Linked DNA regions of Oreochromis niloticus. Each later gene encodes a partner of the first gene's protein in a complex. Links are inferred from orthologs where the notes say so. Each region holds a gene or a part of one and is shown on either strand. Other genes may lie near its edges.

The links.
Region 2: med12 (region 1) and med7 share a complex: the UniProt entries of both Homo sapiens proteins name them as parts of the mediator complex. The link is inferred for Oreochromis niloticus from reciprocal best matches to the Homo sapiens genes MED12 and MED7.

The regions. Positions count from the first base shown.
Region 1 is NC_031966.2:17,413,915-17,422,019, forward strand, and holds the start of med12 (mediator of RNA polymerase II transcription subunit 12), read left to right. Parts: upstream 1-4,594; 5' UTR 4,595-4,664; coding exon 4,665-4,766; intron 4,767-5,475; coding exon 5,476-5,580; intron 5,581-5,692; coding exon 5,693-5,884; intron 5,885-8,105. Other genes in the region: wu:fb13g09 (multidrug resistance-associated protein 5), read left to right, coding at 1-95, 852-944. UniProt on the Homo sapiens protein: Component of the Mediator complex, a coactivator involved in the regulated transcription of nearly all RNA polymerase II-dependent genes.
Region 2 is NC_031966.2:30,306,195-30,314,181, forward strand, and holds med7 (mediator of RNA polymerase II transcription subunit 7), read right to left. Parts: upstream 3,204-7,987; 5' UTR 3,031-3,203; intron 2,317-3,030; 5' UTR 2,308-2,316; coding exon 1,546-2,307; 3' UTR 4-1,545; downstream 1-3. Other genes in the region: itk (tyrosine-protein kinase ITK/TSK), read left to right, coding at 5,141-5,278, 5,369-5,473, 5,628-5,709, 5,850-5,975, 6,199-6,236, 6,982-7,133, 7,247-7,312, 7,433-7,487 and 1 more. UniProt on the Homo sapiens protein: Component of the Mediator complex, a coactivator involved in the regulated transcription of nearly all RNA polymerase II-dependent genes.

The DNA.
Region 1 (8,105 bases):
GCACTGCGTTTGGCAGCTGCACTACTCTCATCATCGCCCATCGTCTCAACACAGTGATGAGCTGCAGCAGAGTCATGGTCATGAACAACGGCCAGGTGAATATAAATGCAGTATGTCTGACTGTGAAACTCGGTCCAGTGGTTGAAACTCAATCGTTGATGTGATATTCCCTAAATTACTGTGTGTTTGATATGACTGATGGGATGAGGCGGTTCATATTTCACTTGAGCAGTTTTCAAGACTTTTGATGCTAGCTGATAACATGAAATGCACACAAGTAGTCAGCAGTTTATGTGTTTCAGCCCTTATCCCTTAATAAGTTGAGTTTGCATTTTTGGCATCAGTATGTAGAGTAAAATAAGATGGATGCATCAGAAGAGACAAGATTTATAGCTTGAATTTACACCCAATTTTTTGGCTGTGCAGTGGAATGAAAAAATCACAGACATTCATAAACGTGTTGTTTTATTAATATTAGATGTACCTAAATGGTTCATTACTTCATGCATTTTGCATTAAAAGACAATTAAATTTCCATTTTGTAATCTTTGGCTTTGTCTGTATTATAAAAGATCCCAAAATATCTTGTTGTTCGAGCCTTGTTGATAATGTCAACATGGCTCAAACAGTCAGTGTCGGCCACTGTGTGCCGGGAGTGATCGCTACTCCTTATAGGAACTTGTGATTCAACAAAGTGCAGCAAAGGCTGTCTGAGGACAATATTTCGCACATATTGAAATGCTTTTCATACACTGCCGCTGGGAAATATCTTCGGTTGGAGTAAGTTTGGAGATAATGTGCAGATTTTATATGCAAGTGCTGATTTTGTTTTATCCTTTTCATTCTCGTAGATTTTGGAGTTTGACAGTCCCGTTGCCTTGCTGGCAGATGAAAACTCAAGATTTAGAGCCATGGTAGAAGCATCAGAAAACCAAAACAGATAAAACACGCTGGAGCTGAACTTTGGACGTGAGCTGTGATCCTACAAAATATCCAGCTGAATAAATGATTTGCACACATGCACACACACCAATCCTGCCAAGTGTGAAAATGATGAGTAAAGAAATCCACTGATGGTTAGTCCATGCAACCGTGTCCGTTTATTTCCTCACCAAAGACACAGAGACAGCACTTCCTAACAGCACATCAAATCTCAGTATGCTAAGTGAGATCTATCAGCCACCTGCTCTTTGCCGCCGTGTCACAGGAGTTGTTTCCTGGGGGCCAAACAATTAACTGCAAGTGAAACAGAGCTGTGTCTCTGACAAATAGCACTTTATGTGTCATGTGGACACTTGGAAGGACGTAGGATGGTTCTTTTTTTTCTCTGGAGGTCAGTTAATCAGTCAGACACTAAATTAGTTTTATTTCCATGACTGAAACCTGACAGTCCGGGAAATTAATGTTAGGCAGAAAATGGTGTGGATCAGATTTAATTTCTTATTTGCAATGCTACTGATGTTTATTTGTTTATGTCAGGAATTTATTTGTTTGAATTAATTATTAAATGCAGTATATTTGAAAAAATCATCTTCTATCCATTCCTCAAAATGACTTTCCAAAAGAGGCTAAAATGTTTGTGTTTTTTGTTGTTGCTATAATGAGATAACTTCAGTAAATTATTGCAGATGTGATATGTGCCTAGACCTGTAAACAATTCCAGGTTATATAATGGAGTTAGCCATGTAAGCATGCTTTTTTTTTTAGACTGCATGCAAGCACTGTGTTTTCAAATTAGCTCATCTTTTCAAATGCTGGAGTTGAATGTTTTACCAGCAAGATCATTTAGGTGTTGAGGTATGGTGTGTGGTTTGCAACAAAGCTGAAAACAATCAGGGTGTGTCTGTACATGTTCTGTTTTCACACATGAGAGGACTGCAGACTTCTGCCTTCAAGTATGTGTTGAACAATCATGAAAAGTGCAATATCCCTTATTTTCAAGATTGCCTTTGTACACTTGAGATTGTGAAGCTGTAATATAAATTTGTTAAATGTGGGATTTTTGATATGAAGAGGTTTTTTTTTTGAATAAACTTATTTTTTATTTATTGGTGATGTGTCTAGTCTATTCTTATAAGATGTCCATCAAGGATGTTATGTGGTTGTTTGACTTGTTTCTTTGGATTCCTCAAAAAGTTATGAATGTATACGCAGGAAAGTGTTACCAGAGGAATTTTTGGAAAGAATCTATTGCATTCCTCGAGAAAACAAACTAGGGCAATTCATGTTTTATCTTCACATTGAAATAATTTCGATACATGCTTTTGATTTACCAGACTCGATTCATACATGCTGTGGAGGTCTTTATCAGCCTGAAAGCCTTGAGGTATGTAGCTTCATGGTACTCTTGTTTTAATGGTAAAGGAAATTGCAATATGTTAAAGTAATAGCAGTCAGTATAGTATAGAGGGAAAAAGAAAGTTTTGTAAAGTGTTTTGTTGCTCCTTAGCAGCAAAACATCTGATGATTTTTTCCCTGTGTGACTTGCCTGGAGTTAGCTACAAGTTTCAAAATGAGAATCAGTTAAAAGAAGTGAGCTTACAGGCCTTTGTCACCCTCACTTTATTCCCGCTTGAGGCTATTAGCCTGAGGAAATAGTAGCCAATGCTACCAGTAAACATGATTTGCATTGTGGGTACTGCAGACACAGTGTTTTTTTGTTTTTGGCAGGGGAAAAGAATGCATGGAATACAAAACACATCTGGTTGTACTGAATTTTAAAGCATTTCCAGTGTAAGTGAGACACGCTGTATCAGTGGACTCCTATTTTTCAGTCTATTTTATAAAAGTCACAGAGACATTTATATCATGAATATTCCATTAGCTCATTAGGGAATTGTGAAGCCTTTTGTTTCAGAATAACCCCGCATCAACATGACATCTAAGGCCTCCTCCAAGACTGTATGCAGGCTTTCAACAAACGCAAAGGTTAAATTGGGGTTTTATGAGACCATTTCAAAAGTGTAAAGCCCCAATCTGCAGATTTCAGCAACAATCCGCCCACATGCACTTCAGCAAAACTAAGAAATCCACTTTTTTTACCCTTGAGATCAACTCCAAGTGAAGAAACATGAAAGTAACAAATAGAGCATACGATTTTCCCATCTGGTCACCTCTTCCTGCAGTATGAAAATCCACCAAACTGGCATAAACAGCTGTTGGTAAATAACATAAATTCCTTACAAAGTAGGGAAATTTCACACAGGAGTAAAGGGAATACCTATTAATTTATGAAACTTGAACTATTCCACATAATGCAAAAATTACACTGCATTTCATTTGGAGTAACCTTTGTGTGTGTTTTCTCGGACCCCCAAATGATTGCATATCAGACTCAGAATGTCAGGATTTTTTGCCCAGGATTTACCTCCTCATCACACACCTTACAATAACCTTACCTGCTGCCTTCATCATAATGCATACTTGAAGAGTGTCCACAGTGTTTTTGTGTTTTAACTTTTTATTTTATTTTTTGGGGAGGAAAATATTCGAAATGTTTGACTAACTGTGAAGTTTTTTCTTCTTAAAAACTCTGACTTCCTCAGTCCGAGCTGGAAGGACAGATGTTCATATTACACTGAGATAACTGTTAATGTGCTGAAACTGGAGTTAAATATAGCATCCAAGCATTTTTGGTCATTCTTTCATTTATTTCAGAATAAAAATGGGCTAAGTGACGCATGTTGTATATATGGCAAAGTCCTGAGCGCCCTGTGTGTTCTTAAAAAAATTAAGGAAACTGGATAAGTGGAGGACAAGAGCAGAAATGGCAGATCTTTAAGAAATGGGGGGGAAATCCAGCAAAGACCTGACAAAGGAACAGACCGATGCATCTGGCCTTTGAGTTGATCCATTTACTGTTCGCCAAAGCCTCATTATAAGTGGTCTCAGTGTCAGGGTAGCTGTCATGAAGCCATTCTGAAAGAACAGGGAGAAACAGCTGAGGTATTCCAAATTACACAGACCTGGACTGCACAGAGCTCTTATGCAGTCAGTGTGTATAGCCATCTGTAAAACACGGTGTACGCTTTGTCATGGAACAAAAGGGAGGCAAAATCCAAGAGCTTTGGAGCGTCCTTTCTGGAAAATTATTTCTGAAGACATCTTAAAGAAATTACAAGAAAGCTTGCCTGAGTTCGGACTGTTTTTAAGAATAAAAGTGCTCATACTAAATATTGACTTTCCAGTTAGTTAGAGATGTACAAATTTATTTTGCCTTATTATACCATGTATATAAATCATGTATATTTACATTTACATGTGTAATCATATCTGTGTGCGTGCGTGTGTGTTGACTAGGCTTTAAAGGTTAAATGGGAGACCACAAATTATGCAGGATGTAGAATTTTTAGTCAGACATTAAAGCTAAATACCCCCTAATTAAACCTAATATTATATAATAGCCTAATAACCAAACACACGTGAGTGTTTTTAATAGCGCACTTTTAATCAGAAAGGAAAAACATGGAAACGACTAAAAAAACATTATTTGTTCTTTATTTACTTACTAGAGTAACTAAAAAGCACAAAGCTTTTTATGCAATATAGTTTCCTTGACTTTTATTTTGAAGTTCACGACTGGAACCCTGCCGGAAGTGAGTTTGGTTGTTGTAGCTCGCCCCAGGCTGCTGGAAGGAGGAAAGCCTTAGCTGTGATGCCGCTGGATGATGGCTGCTTTCGGGATCTTAAGTTACGAACACCGTCCATTAAAGCGGCCCCGACTCGGCCCTCCGGACGTTTATCCGCAAGATCCAAAGCAAAAAGAGGTCAGATTTGGCGACGTGCTCGATGAACGGCCGGGAGTAACGTTTTCTCGAGGAAAATTGTCGGCAGAGGAGCTGTGCGAGCTAACACTAGCTAGTCAATCTTAGCAGTCCTGTGAACGGTCTGGGCCTAGCAATAACAATGAACAGAACCTAGTTGTCAGTTTGTTAGCTAGCTTGCCCTGCTTAGTTGACAAGCAGCTACTTGGTAAGATCGCTGAGTTTGCTAAGCTAACTCTTTGGGTGGCGGATGCTTTGCAGTTTGATATAAACTGCAGCCATTGTCTTACTTTGTGGTTTTAAACAATATGCGCTCGGTTTTGGATTGTGCGTGACTATTGCTGTTTAATAGCCATATGGTTTGTTTTTACGAATAGCCAGACCTTCAAAGCTAACCTTTATTACCAGCAAGCTGTAAATGAAGCTAAATTATTTGCTGAGTTTTTAGATTGGAGTTTGGCCTAGCTGAGGTATCCCTTTTCGTTCATATCCAGCAATAACCTGATGTAATCTGTTGATGCAAATGGAAAAGTGACTCTTTATGTTTCCCCAATAATAATTTAAAAAATGTTTTTATTGTTATTTATGTTTACCTCATGTCTGCAAAACCAATCAACCACACATCCCGACTTTCTCAGTGGTCTAGGATCTCAAATTATACCACTAACGTCGCATGAAAAATATCAATTTTCTTCGCTGAAATGTGTTTCAGGATGAGTTGACTGCATTGAATGTGAAGCAAGGATTCAATAACCAACCAGCTGTATCCGGTGATGAACATGGCAGTGCCAAAAATGTCAACTTCAACCCTTCCAAGGTAATGGCTCATTTTAACACAGCTCCTGCCCTAGCACACCATTCACAACTGGATAGATTTTTCCCCCCTGCTGGGTTTTGGCCATCTTACATGTTCCCCTCTCTCTTTATAGATCAGCTCAAACTTCAGCAGCATTATTGCAGAGAAGCTGCGCTACAGCACGTTTCCAGACACAGGGAAGCGTAAACCACAGGTCAACCAGAAGGATAATTTCTGGCTTGTCACAGCGAGGTCACAGAGCTCCATCAATAACTGGTTCACGGACTTAGCTGGGACTAAACCTCTGACACAGCTGGCTAAAAAGGTAAAACTTAAAAGCCTTGTTTATTATTTATTATTGGGTATTCATGTAATTGCTTTCCTAGTTGAGCACAAGTCATTAAGCCACCTAGTTAGTGAGTTAATTGTTTTTAAATTTATGATATTAAGTAAGTACACATTAGAGCATAGTTAAAATTCCTGGGCTGTGGAGAAGCAAAATCACAACAACAACAACACTTTAAGTCTTCCCAAAGCATGCAGGAGGAAAGCCTCAAGTTAAGAGAACCTGAAAAGTTATTAATGATTTTGAATGTGCTTCAGTAGCCAGAAAAGCTACTGGGGGGATGGTAGGCAGTGGTCTGACCACAATGCCATATTCTTCTTCAGAAAGCTGACTAATAGCGACTGGGACGTCAGTAAAAGCATGAATATAAAAAAAACATTTATTTCAAATAGTCAAGAACGACATTTAATGGCAGCTCTAAATAATTTTGATTGGACTAGTATACTATAATATGATGACACTAATAAATGTTGTGATTTATTATAGTCTTCTATTAAAGGGGTCTTGTCACAGTTTCAGAAAGAGAGCCATTTAAAGAAACGAGTTTATTCTTTGCCTTGGATTAATACTGAGTGTAAACAGCTTATGAGACTCGGAGACCAGCTATTTAAAAAATCGTTACAATCTGGATTAAATACTGATCGATTAAATTTTATATCTGCAAGGAATAAAGTCACACAAACTTTGAGAATGGCAAAAGCAATTTTTTTCATGACTAATTAATAGTGCCAAAGGAAATTGTAAGCTAATTTGGGAAAATATTAACAAACTCCTTGGTAACAGTAAACATAATGCTGATAAAGACAATGAACTTAAATTTGCCAATGAACTGGTATCAGAGCCTCTCACCCTAGCTGCTAAATTAAATGATTTTCTAATTCTTATGACCCTCAACAAAATATTTGGAATAGCGACACCAAAAAGGATGTTTCTTCTCAAGATTCAAAGTTCAACATTCAAAAAATTACAGTAAGTGAAAGTAGAAAATATAATCTCTAAATTAAAAAGTTCTAAAGCAAGGGATGAGTGTGGATTTGCTACGAATTTCTTGAAGCATTATAAATCTTGTCTTTTGGTGCCTGTGACCCATCTTATTAATTTATCAATCACGCAGGCAGTCGTTCCTCTGAGTTGGAAGGTGGCAAAAGTTACACCAATTTATAAATTGGGTGATAAATCAGACCCTGCTAATTATCGACTTATTAGCATACTCCCTATGTTTTCAAAGATAGCAGAAAAGTGGGTTGCTAATTCTATCATCGAATATCTTAATGACTCCAATCCGGGTTTGCACCCTATGCAGTTTGGATTTCGCACTCTTCACTCAACTGAAACGGCTGTCCATGTTTTTGTTGAGAGAGTGAAGTCTTACTTAGACAAGAGCAGTTATGTTGTGGCTATTTTTCTTGATTTCAAGCGTGCGTTTGACACTGTGAATCATCTTAAGCTCTTGTCTAGACTGTCAACATTTAACTTCAGTAATCACACCGTTAAATGGATACAGTCTTATCTATCAGATAGAAAACAATGCGTGCAAATAAAGAATAGCAAGTCACCCTATCTTTACTGTACGCAAGGTGTCCCTCAGGGTTCAATTCTAGGCCCCCTGTTATTTTCACTTTATGTAAGTGACTTGTCCAATGTGTGCAAAAATGTGGACATGATTATGTATGCTGATGATACGGTAATTTTTACACAAGCCAAAACTGCTGATGATGCAGCCCATCAGCTTTCATTGGCATTACATGATTTACAAAAATGGCTGAATGACTCATGCCTGTGCCTTAATGTTAAAAAGACCGTATCTATGTTTTTTAGTAAACCTAAAACAGCCGTGGCTGCAGTAAAAGTTCGCGTGGGTGCACAAGAACTAATTAATGTTGAGGAATTTAAGCATTTGGGAGTGCTACTAGACTCGAAATTATCCTTTAAAAAAGTAGTGAAAACTGTAAATGTTAATATACAGAACTTTAGACATATCCGCACATCATTAACAGACACAGCAGCGATTACATTCCTGCACTCTATGATACCGTCATGTTGAATACTGTATTACAAGTTGGTCCTATACGAGCTTTGCTGCTAGTGGGCCAATCGAAGTATGCTACAAAAGAGCATTGAAAATATTAGATAAGAAACCTTTTTCATATTACCATTGTCAAATTTTAGATAAATACAAGTTTCTAAATTTTACTAATTT
Region 2 (7,987 bases), about 13 Mb from region 1:
ATCTTGTGTATCACGCACTGATTTATTGAACTTCTGCAAGTTACATAGACGCCTCAGCTAACATCACAGAAACGCAAGTAGTGAAATCTGCGCTGCAATCACCAGCCTGAAGTGTATTTTCAGTTTCAACAACCAAACGTGCATTTGCAATTGCTTTACAAGCAGCCAGTTGAAATGCTCACATTTCTGTCCCCGAACAGTTGTGTAAGAGCAATCTGCTGCAAGGCAACACAAAACTGGTTATACTGTTAGGTATGCTTATGAAAACCTATAAAACGGGGAAGGGGAGGGGGTCAGAATTATTCGACATTTTACATAATATACATGATGACTTTTGTGTGACGACTCTCCATGGATTACACAACCTGCAAATCAGTGACAAGAATCATGCATTGCAAACATAAAGGCAGTCCAGCATTTACATGAGCTTTCATGCGACTCTGCTCTGACGGGTCTAATAAAGCCGTCTATGTTTCTGTGACATTACTGCACTCTGACTGCAAATTTGTTTATTGGGTTTATTACAATAATGCAAACTTAGCTTACCTGCTAACTGTGTTAATATTTCTATTCTGGGAATACGTTTTCAGGAATTAGAATTTCTACATTTTAAATAACATTCAATGGGACGTGTGAAAACACAGCTAACACCCTCACATGTCCATTTCTGACATTCACACCTTTTCTGTTAATTTGACAGCATTTATTGTCATAGTTTCAAGTTTCGTGGGTGAACGAGTACACTGGTCACTTCTAAATAAAGGTTTAGGCATCAGCCTTACTGTGTGGTACCTAGTAAAACAGCACAAACGTGAATGAATGCGGTCACATTAACTGACACACATGGACAAGAGCATGACTGTGCATTTCTCTTGCTCAAGTGCTCATCTTATTAGACCAGCAGTTCTCACACTACCTGCATGATGGGAAACACTGGTGCGGTATAATCAACCAGGTGAAGTGAAACTTGAGTGGATTTTTTTTTTCTTAATGTGACCTTTAAGTAAAACTTTTTTTCTTAGTGGTTGAATAAAAACTGGAGTTTGGGGATTAACATTAAACATACTAGAAAAACTTTGAGAACCGATGCACTTGAGAAAACCATAAACAGCCAAGATATTGCACCCAACATTTTATCTCATCAGCTCTGTTTCAAGCTAACAGTAAGAAACATTCGTCAATGATGCGTTTTGAAATTCCCCAAGTCAGAAGAGAGGTCACCGAGCATCTTGATTTACTACTGATAATTCTTGAGGCCCCAGGCGCACATCTTTTATGTGTATAGCAAAAACCACAGGTATAACATGTTCACTCTCTAAATCACTCTTGTGCATGAAACCATGAGAACAGAGATGTATTACAAGCATATACAGCATAACTCAACAGCAGAATGCAGTCATGTTGAAGACTTATGGAACAAAGAGCAGTGACATAACCAGTTATAAAAACAAAGAACAAAAATATTCTGTATATCATGTACGAAAGGGCCATATTTACACAGAGTTCAGCAAAGAAACGACAAAAAAGAAAGAACATAATATTAAACTATGCTAGTTCATCAATAATGCTGCACATGGCAGCGTCCTTGTCCCATTTGTCACTCCTTGAAGTAGGGATGCTCTTCTCCTGCTGACTCGTTGCCATGCAGCTGGCAGCTGCTTCCTCTATATCCATAGGTTCCGTTTTCAGTCTGGTGGCCTGCCCAGAGGAACAGCCAACAGTAGCTGCAGGAGGCGCATTCTTTGTCCCATCACAAGCACCATCCTGACCTTCCACTTGAGGCAAGTCATCAGGCAGGGAGGCAAGGCACCCCTGGATCATCTCCACCACCCTCTCCAGATGTTTCTGGAACCTCTCTGCTGTCTCTAGCCTCTGTCTCTTCTGGACCTCCATCATCACCCTTAGTGTCTCCCTGGCTTGATGCGGCCTGTACTCATTTATCAGATGGTGCATATGGACAAACAGAAGCTTTATGTCCTCCAGCTTCTCTTCACGCTTTATACTACCAGGGCTCTTGATAAGGATGTCCAGAAGGTCCAAAAAGTTCACAAGAATGGACATGTTCAGTTTCTTGAGCTCCCGTTTGTGGTCAAACTGCATAGGGTGAAGCCTCTCAATGCCTTGGCTTTCCAGAGGCCGGATGATGAGGTCATCACATTGGAAATGGTTGCCAAACATCATGTAATTATCTCTGATGGGTGGAGGTGGCTTAGGGGCCAGACCCTTGCGGATGTTTTCATCTGTGTATTCTTTGATGTACTGCATCGGTGGAGGAGGCAGGGCGCTGACCTGCTGTGGTTCACCCATGATGCCGACCTGAAAGCACAAGGATCCATTTCAATATATATAAAAAACGAACACAACATACCAAATTGCAAAACCTAATGTATATTCATTAAACAAAAAAAACCCAAACCAAACCAAAACAGTGTTTACAGTTCACAGTAGATGAACACAAACGTTAATTTAGGCTATATGCCTAAATATAACAGAACGTTCATCAGTGTCATTAGTAAGTCTCCGGTTTACCTACTGTTACACACAAAAAATAGTGTAGTGAAAAGGTCTCTCTCTCACTTCCCTATTGGGGGCACAAGTAGACAAGGAGCAGGATGTTTGCGGCAAAAAGACGGCATAGCTTTTTAATTGCAGAGACGTTAGCTGTGTCTAAATAGCTTGCTTGCACTAACTCCAAACAAATTCAGTGTTTGTTTGAGACCATCGCTTCGGAAGATGTGCTAAGAGGCCTATGCTAGCACAAACTGCCCAGCCAGTTGTCTGTAAGGTAAATATCTGCATATAAGACTTATGTTAAACGCTGTCTGGATGGGAATAGAGTTGAGTGAAGACTACCATTTACTGTCGCAAACCTTCGTTTTATCAACATGTTAGCCCTTTACTCGCCAACTAACTGCAGTCGTTAGCTTACCAGCTAACTGACTAACTAACTGCTAACCTCCGCTAAAGAGTGAAATCGCTACACCAAATATAATGCTAACCCACAATACCGTTAAAAAGGGGAAGACTTACGATATTTATACACACCTTTCAAATAACTCTTTAGTCGCTGAAGATATAAGACGATAGACGTCTGTTAGGTCCGACTATTAGCTTGTAGCTAGTTTAGCTCCTTCCATTCCACACTAACAAGATTTTCGTTTCAGTCCCAAAGCTATTGGCTCGACGTCATTGGTTTTTGTCCCGCGGATTGGACGATAGCAATCAAACAAACTAAACACCGATTGGGTGCGAGGATACCACGCTTGAGCTTGTAGTTTTTGATAGTAAATTGCTTAATTTGAAGCTTATTTTGTACAGGACTGATGTGTTTTTACAATAGTGACCATCTCCAGCACCTGTTATCATTTTGTAATGTCAAATATTTTTCTAGTTAAAGCAAACCAGCAGTTTACAACGCCACCAATACTTTTAAGAGGTAAATAAAATGTGGAAGAAAATTACAATAGATATAAACTATTAGGAATACAAGAGACAAAAGCTTAAAAATGCAAGGATCTATTCTTAAGGTTGTGTCAGTATAACACAATTTTCTAAACTTTCCTTTGTTTTTTGTTTTTCCCCCAATTGTCACCTATGTATGGCTTAAAACAAGAAGAAGAGTAAAATACAGTTGAATTTTTTTAAACACTATAGTTTATCGAGCATCTGAAGTTCACCCTTCTGATTCTGTCACATCTTTAAAACAAATGAAAACTTTCCACATTTTTAGTTTGGAGCTTTAGATTTAGAAAATAAATTATTTAGTGTGACACAGTCCTTCACATCTACTTTTACACTTATTTTACACTTATTTACATACAGCATGACAAATATTCTCTTTTATTAAATACTCATATGGAACAAAATTGCTGAACAATTCCCATTCAACAGCACAGATGTTAACTCCTAAAAATGTTAAATTAAGGTATTTTCTGGAAATTTTTTTAGTTGACAAAAGAAAAAAGAGCCTTGAATTTTGACATTTACATTTACATTTACAGTTCAAACTGTATAAAAATATACAGTCAAAGCCGATTTTGTAATTTTGGCTTTTTGGATCTGTTTTGTTGTTGTTGTTGTTTTTTGACAATAAATAAATTAAATTAAATAAAAATGAAGTGGCAATCCCAACTCATCCAATCCACACCAAACTGTTGGAACACTTTCCTGGTGGTACACTTTCCTGGTGGTGGTGCTGTAGTATCCTTTAAATCTTCCTTTCAGTGTGACCGTAAAAATATTTTCAAATTTTAACTTTAACTAGATTTTTTTTCCATTCTAAGTTGACAGCACTACCTCGGCAGTTTGAAAACTTTCAGTCACTTTAAAATCATTAATGGAGCCCAACTATGTTCTTATTACCATATCATTACTGTTACAATATTATTGTTACTATATTATTAACCTGTATTATTATTAACCTTCTTTTCCTACACAAACCCCCAAAAAACAAGTAAAATATAAGGGAGAAAAAAGCAGTGATGGAGAAAAAACAGGGCAAATCCTAAAAGACATCATAAACATGTAACCCCAAACTCTAAATGTATTAATTATGGCAGGAAAAAAACAGATTTTGTGTGTGTGTGTGTTTCTTGCAATCTCACAATCTCAGTAAAAACTTTTGTTTTTTCCCCTATTACTTTCTTGTTTCAAGTTAAAATGATATGTGCCATTTTTTGCCCTCTTAGATTGAACCCCCCCTTTGCCCAATGCTGATATTATAACCCTAACCTCACTGTACTAGCGGGACACATTCGTGACCTTTGAAGTGAATGTTGATGGAAAGCGTTGAAAAATGTAAAGGTTAACGAGTCATCCTTTTTCTGTGGATCGCACTACTCATAGTGGCTGACTGCAATGTGCACTAAGTGAGTGAAAGTGCCTGCGAGCACCCTGAACTGTGTGTATGTGCGTGCACGCGAGTCTTTCGCTTGCACAACGCATTTGTTGCCGTAGGATGTGGTTTGCTGTGCAACAACCCTATGCCGGAAACGCTACGACATCTATCAACTTATCATCCTCAATTTTTTTTCTTGTACACTCACTGCTACTCTGTCTCTGCATGCTGTAGGCAATGCCGCCTCTCTTGGTATGACAAAACAAGGCAGTGTTTCTCATTGTGCTTCTCATAGCTGGTAAAATGTTCCCCAGGGTGATTTTGAAAGGAAATCTGATCAAAAAATCCCAACAAAAGAAGCGAGTGTCGCCCTGTAACTATAAGGAGAGATTTTTTGTGTTGGATACCCAAGACCTGAAGTATTCTGAACGTCGTCCCGGGGTAAGTACAGTATGTGCGGTTAATCTGTAGAGCTGTTTCAGAAACGCAGACTCTTGGCTGCTTGCTGTAATCTAAGCTGTTTTCTTCCAGAAAAAGCCTTTGCTGAAAGGTTGTATCGAGCTGTCCAGAATTAAGTGCGTGGAGATTGTGTGTACTGATGTGCCCATACCATGCAGCTTTAAGTACCCTTTTCAGGTAAGATTCATCATTTCCTAGAGACCAACTCAATTGTCACTGCATTAAAATCTACTAAACACTGCGTCATACACACTATATACAGTGTATGGTGAAGTATGACTGAAAACGACAACACATATAACCTTTTTTTAAAATCTCAATTCTTCTGCAGGTTTTTCATGACAGTTATTACCTCTACATATTTGCACCAGACAATGATTGCCGTCAGAAATGGGTCAGAGCTCTTAAAGAGGGTAAGCCATTACCATATATCACCAGTCAAATAATAATAATAGTACTATGACAAGTCGATGATAAACCGCTGATTGTATGAACTGCAAACACATACAGATGGATATTTCAAACAATATTTCCCTTGTTCTGTCTGGTGTAGAGACAAAGAATAACAACTTAGTTCCAAAATACCACCCAAACTTCTGGATGGATGGAAAATGGAGATGCTGCCAGCAAACAGAGAAACTGGCGAGTGGGTGCAACGTGTACGACCCAGTGGGCTATGGTTTGTAGCATTTCTTTTTCCTTCTCTTCTACTTTGTGAATCCAATGATTTGTGGAAGCGATTCCATTTAAATTCAGATGTTTGTATGGCTTTCGCACATATGGCTTGAGTAAACTTGAACTAAATGCTTTCAGTTTGCCTAATCCAGTTAAGATCGTTGTTGCTTTGTGAGTTTAGATGGGCCGAATAGCTCTCCAATTTAACATTTCTGTTTCCCCTACAGCCTCTAAAAAGCCGCTTCCCAGCCTCCCGGAGCCAGAGGTACCACCATCTAAAACACAAACGATACACGCTTTTGAAATGTTATTGTGGTTATTACTGATATTCTAATCAAGCGAGGTAGACCAAATCACTTTTTCAGTTTTATTGCCTGACATGTTTGGCTGCAATGCTTTTAAACACAGTTTCTCTCTACATATTTAATAATTAGGTCATGCATTGGCTTTTAACCACTATGTCTGTGGTTTGAGTTTGTGTGATCACTGCTCTGTTAACTGTCTTTGGTTCAGGCAGCAGCTCTATAGTTGTTTCAGCGCACATGTGTTTGAGTGTTTACTTAAAAAGATAGATATATAGATAGATAGAAAGTAATAGAAGTACATTAAAGTTTGTCAAATGAAAATCCTTGTTGATACTTTTTCCTATGGCACCATGAAAATGTAATTTCATTTGAAAGCGCTAGATTTCGTATTTGTGTACGAACTTTGTGGGAAGGGTTCACTCAGGCTTTCAATAATTTGTACCAGGTTATTTCCACCACCAAAAAAAAACATTTTCCTGATTGGCAGAGCTAAATTCAAAATTTGGGGTTATTATCGCAAAACTTCAGCTTCATGATTCTAAATATCAAGTTATTTTCTCATTTCATCTCAGAAGTTTAAGACAGTATGTCGAAATTTAGAGGCAGTAACCCGAAATTTTGACTTATGTTTGCCAAAAAAATGTTTTTTCAGCTTCCATACCTGTACAAATGGTTTTTAGATCTGATTTTTTCCTCCCTTTCCAGATGGAGCTGGAAGATTCGGGGCAACAGAAGGTCATTGCTTTGCAAAACTACACGCCACAGGGGGACAATGACTTACCTCTTCAGAAAGATCAGGAGTATCTCCTGGTTAAGAATTCCCATTCCATCTGGTGGCTTGTACAGGATGAAAGAGGGTAAAGCGCATTACAGCCAATACCTAATTCATTTGAACTGTTTACATTAAAAAATAGCAGTATATTATAAAATAAGAACCATTAGCTAAATCCCTTTTCCTGTCACTCATTAGGAACTCGGGTTTTGTGCCCAGTACGTTCGTAGCTGAAAAATCCATCAACAACTTTGAAAGATTTGAGTGAGTTTGAATTCATTTCTTTTACTCGATGCTTTTAATTTGCAGTGTTCATTTCTGCTAATGAATTACTTTGTTTTCCCTCCAAAACTGATTTAATTGTTGTTAATTTGTTCTCAACAGATGGTACAACAAAAACATTAGCAGAGCGCAAGCAGAAGAATTGTTAATGAAAGAGGTAAAAACAAAAAGTCAGTCCTGTTTGGCCATAAAAATTCCAAATAATGATTTTGATATGATGATGACAGGCAAGATTTAGCCCCTGTATGACACAGTGCATTTAGATGCGACTGTGCCGCCAAGAGCAATGTTGCATCTGCAAAATCGCTGCATATGCACCTGCACAACAACAATTCGACTTGACATAGAACATGAAAAAAAAAAATTCTCACAACCACAAAGTTTCCTCCAATGTTGAATTTCCTGCTTTGCTAAGTTTTGCAAGCAGGAAGGGAGAATGGTTATCCATCGTCGTCTCTGAATTAAAACGGCCGCCAGATGTGTTACAGAATGCGCCGCCGAACGTGGGAAATCTTATGGGATCTCGTTACTCTGTCTTTAGGGTAAGGAAGGTGCATTCATGGTGCGGGACTCAAGACAGGCGGGAGTGTACACGGTGTCTGTTTTCACCAAAGCACCAGGGTAACTGTTATTTATAGTGTTCTTATGAATTTACTA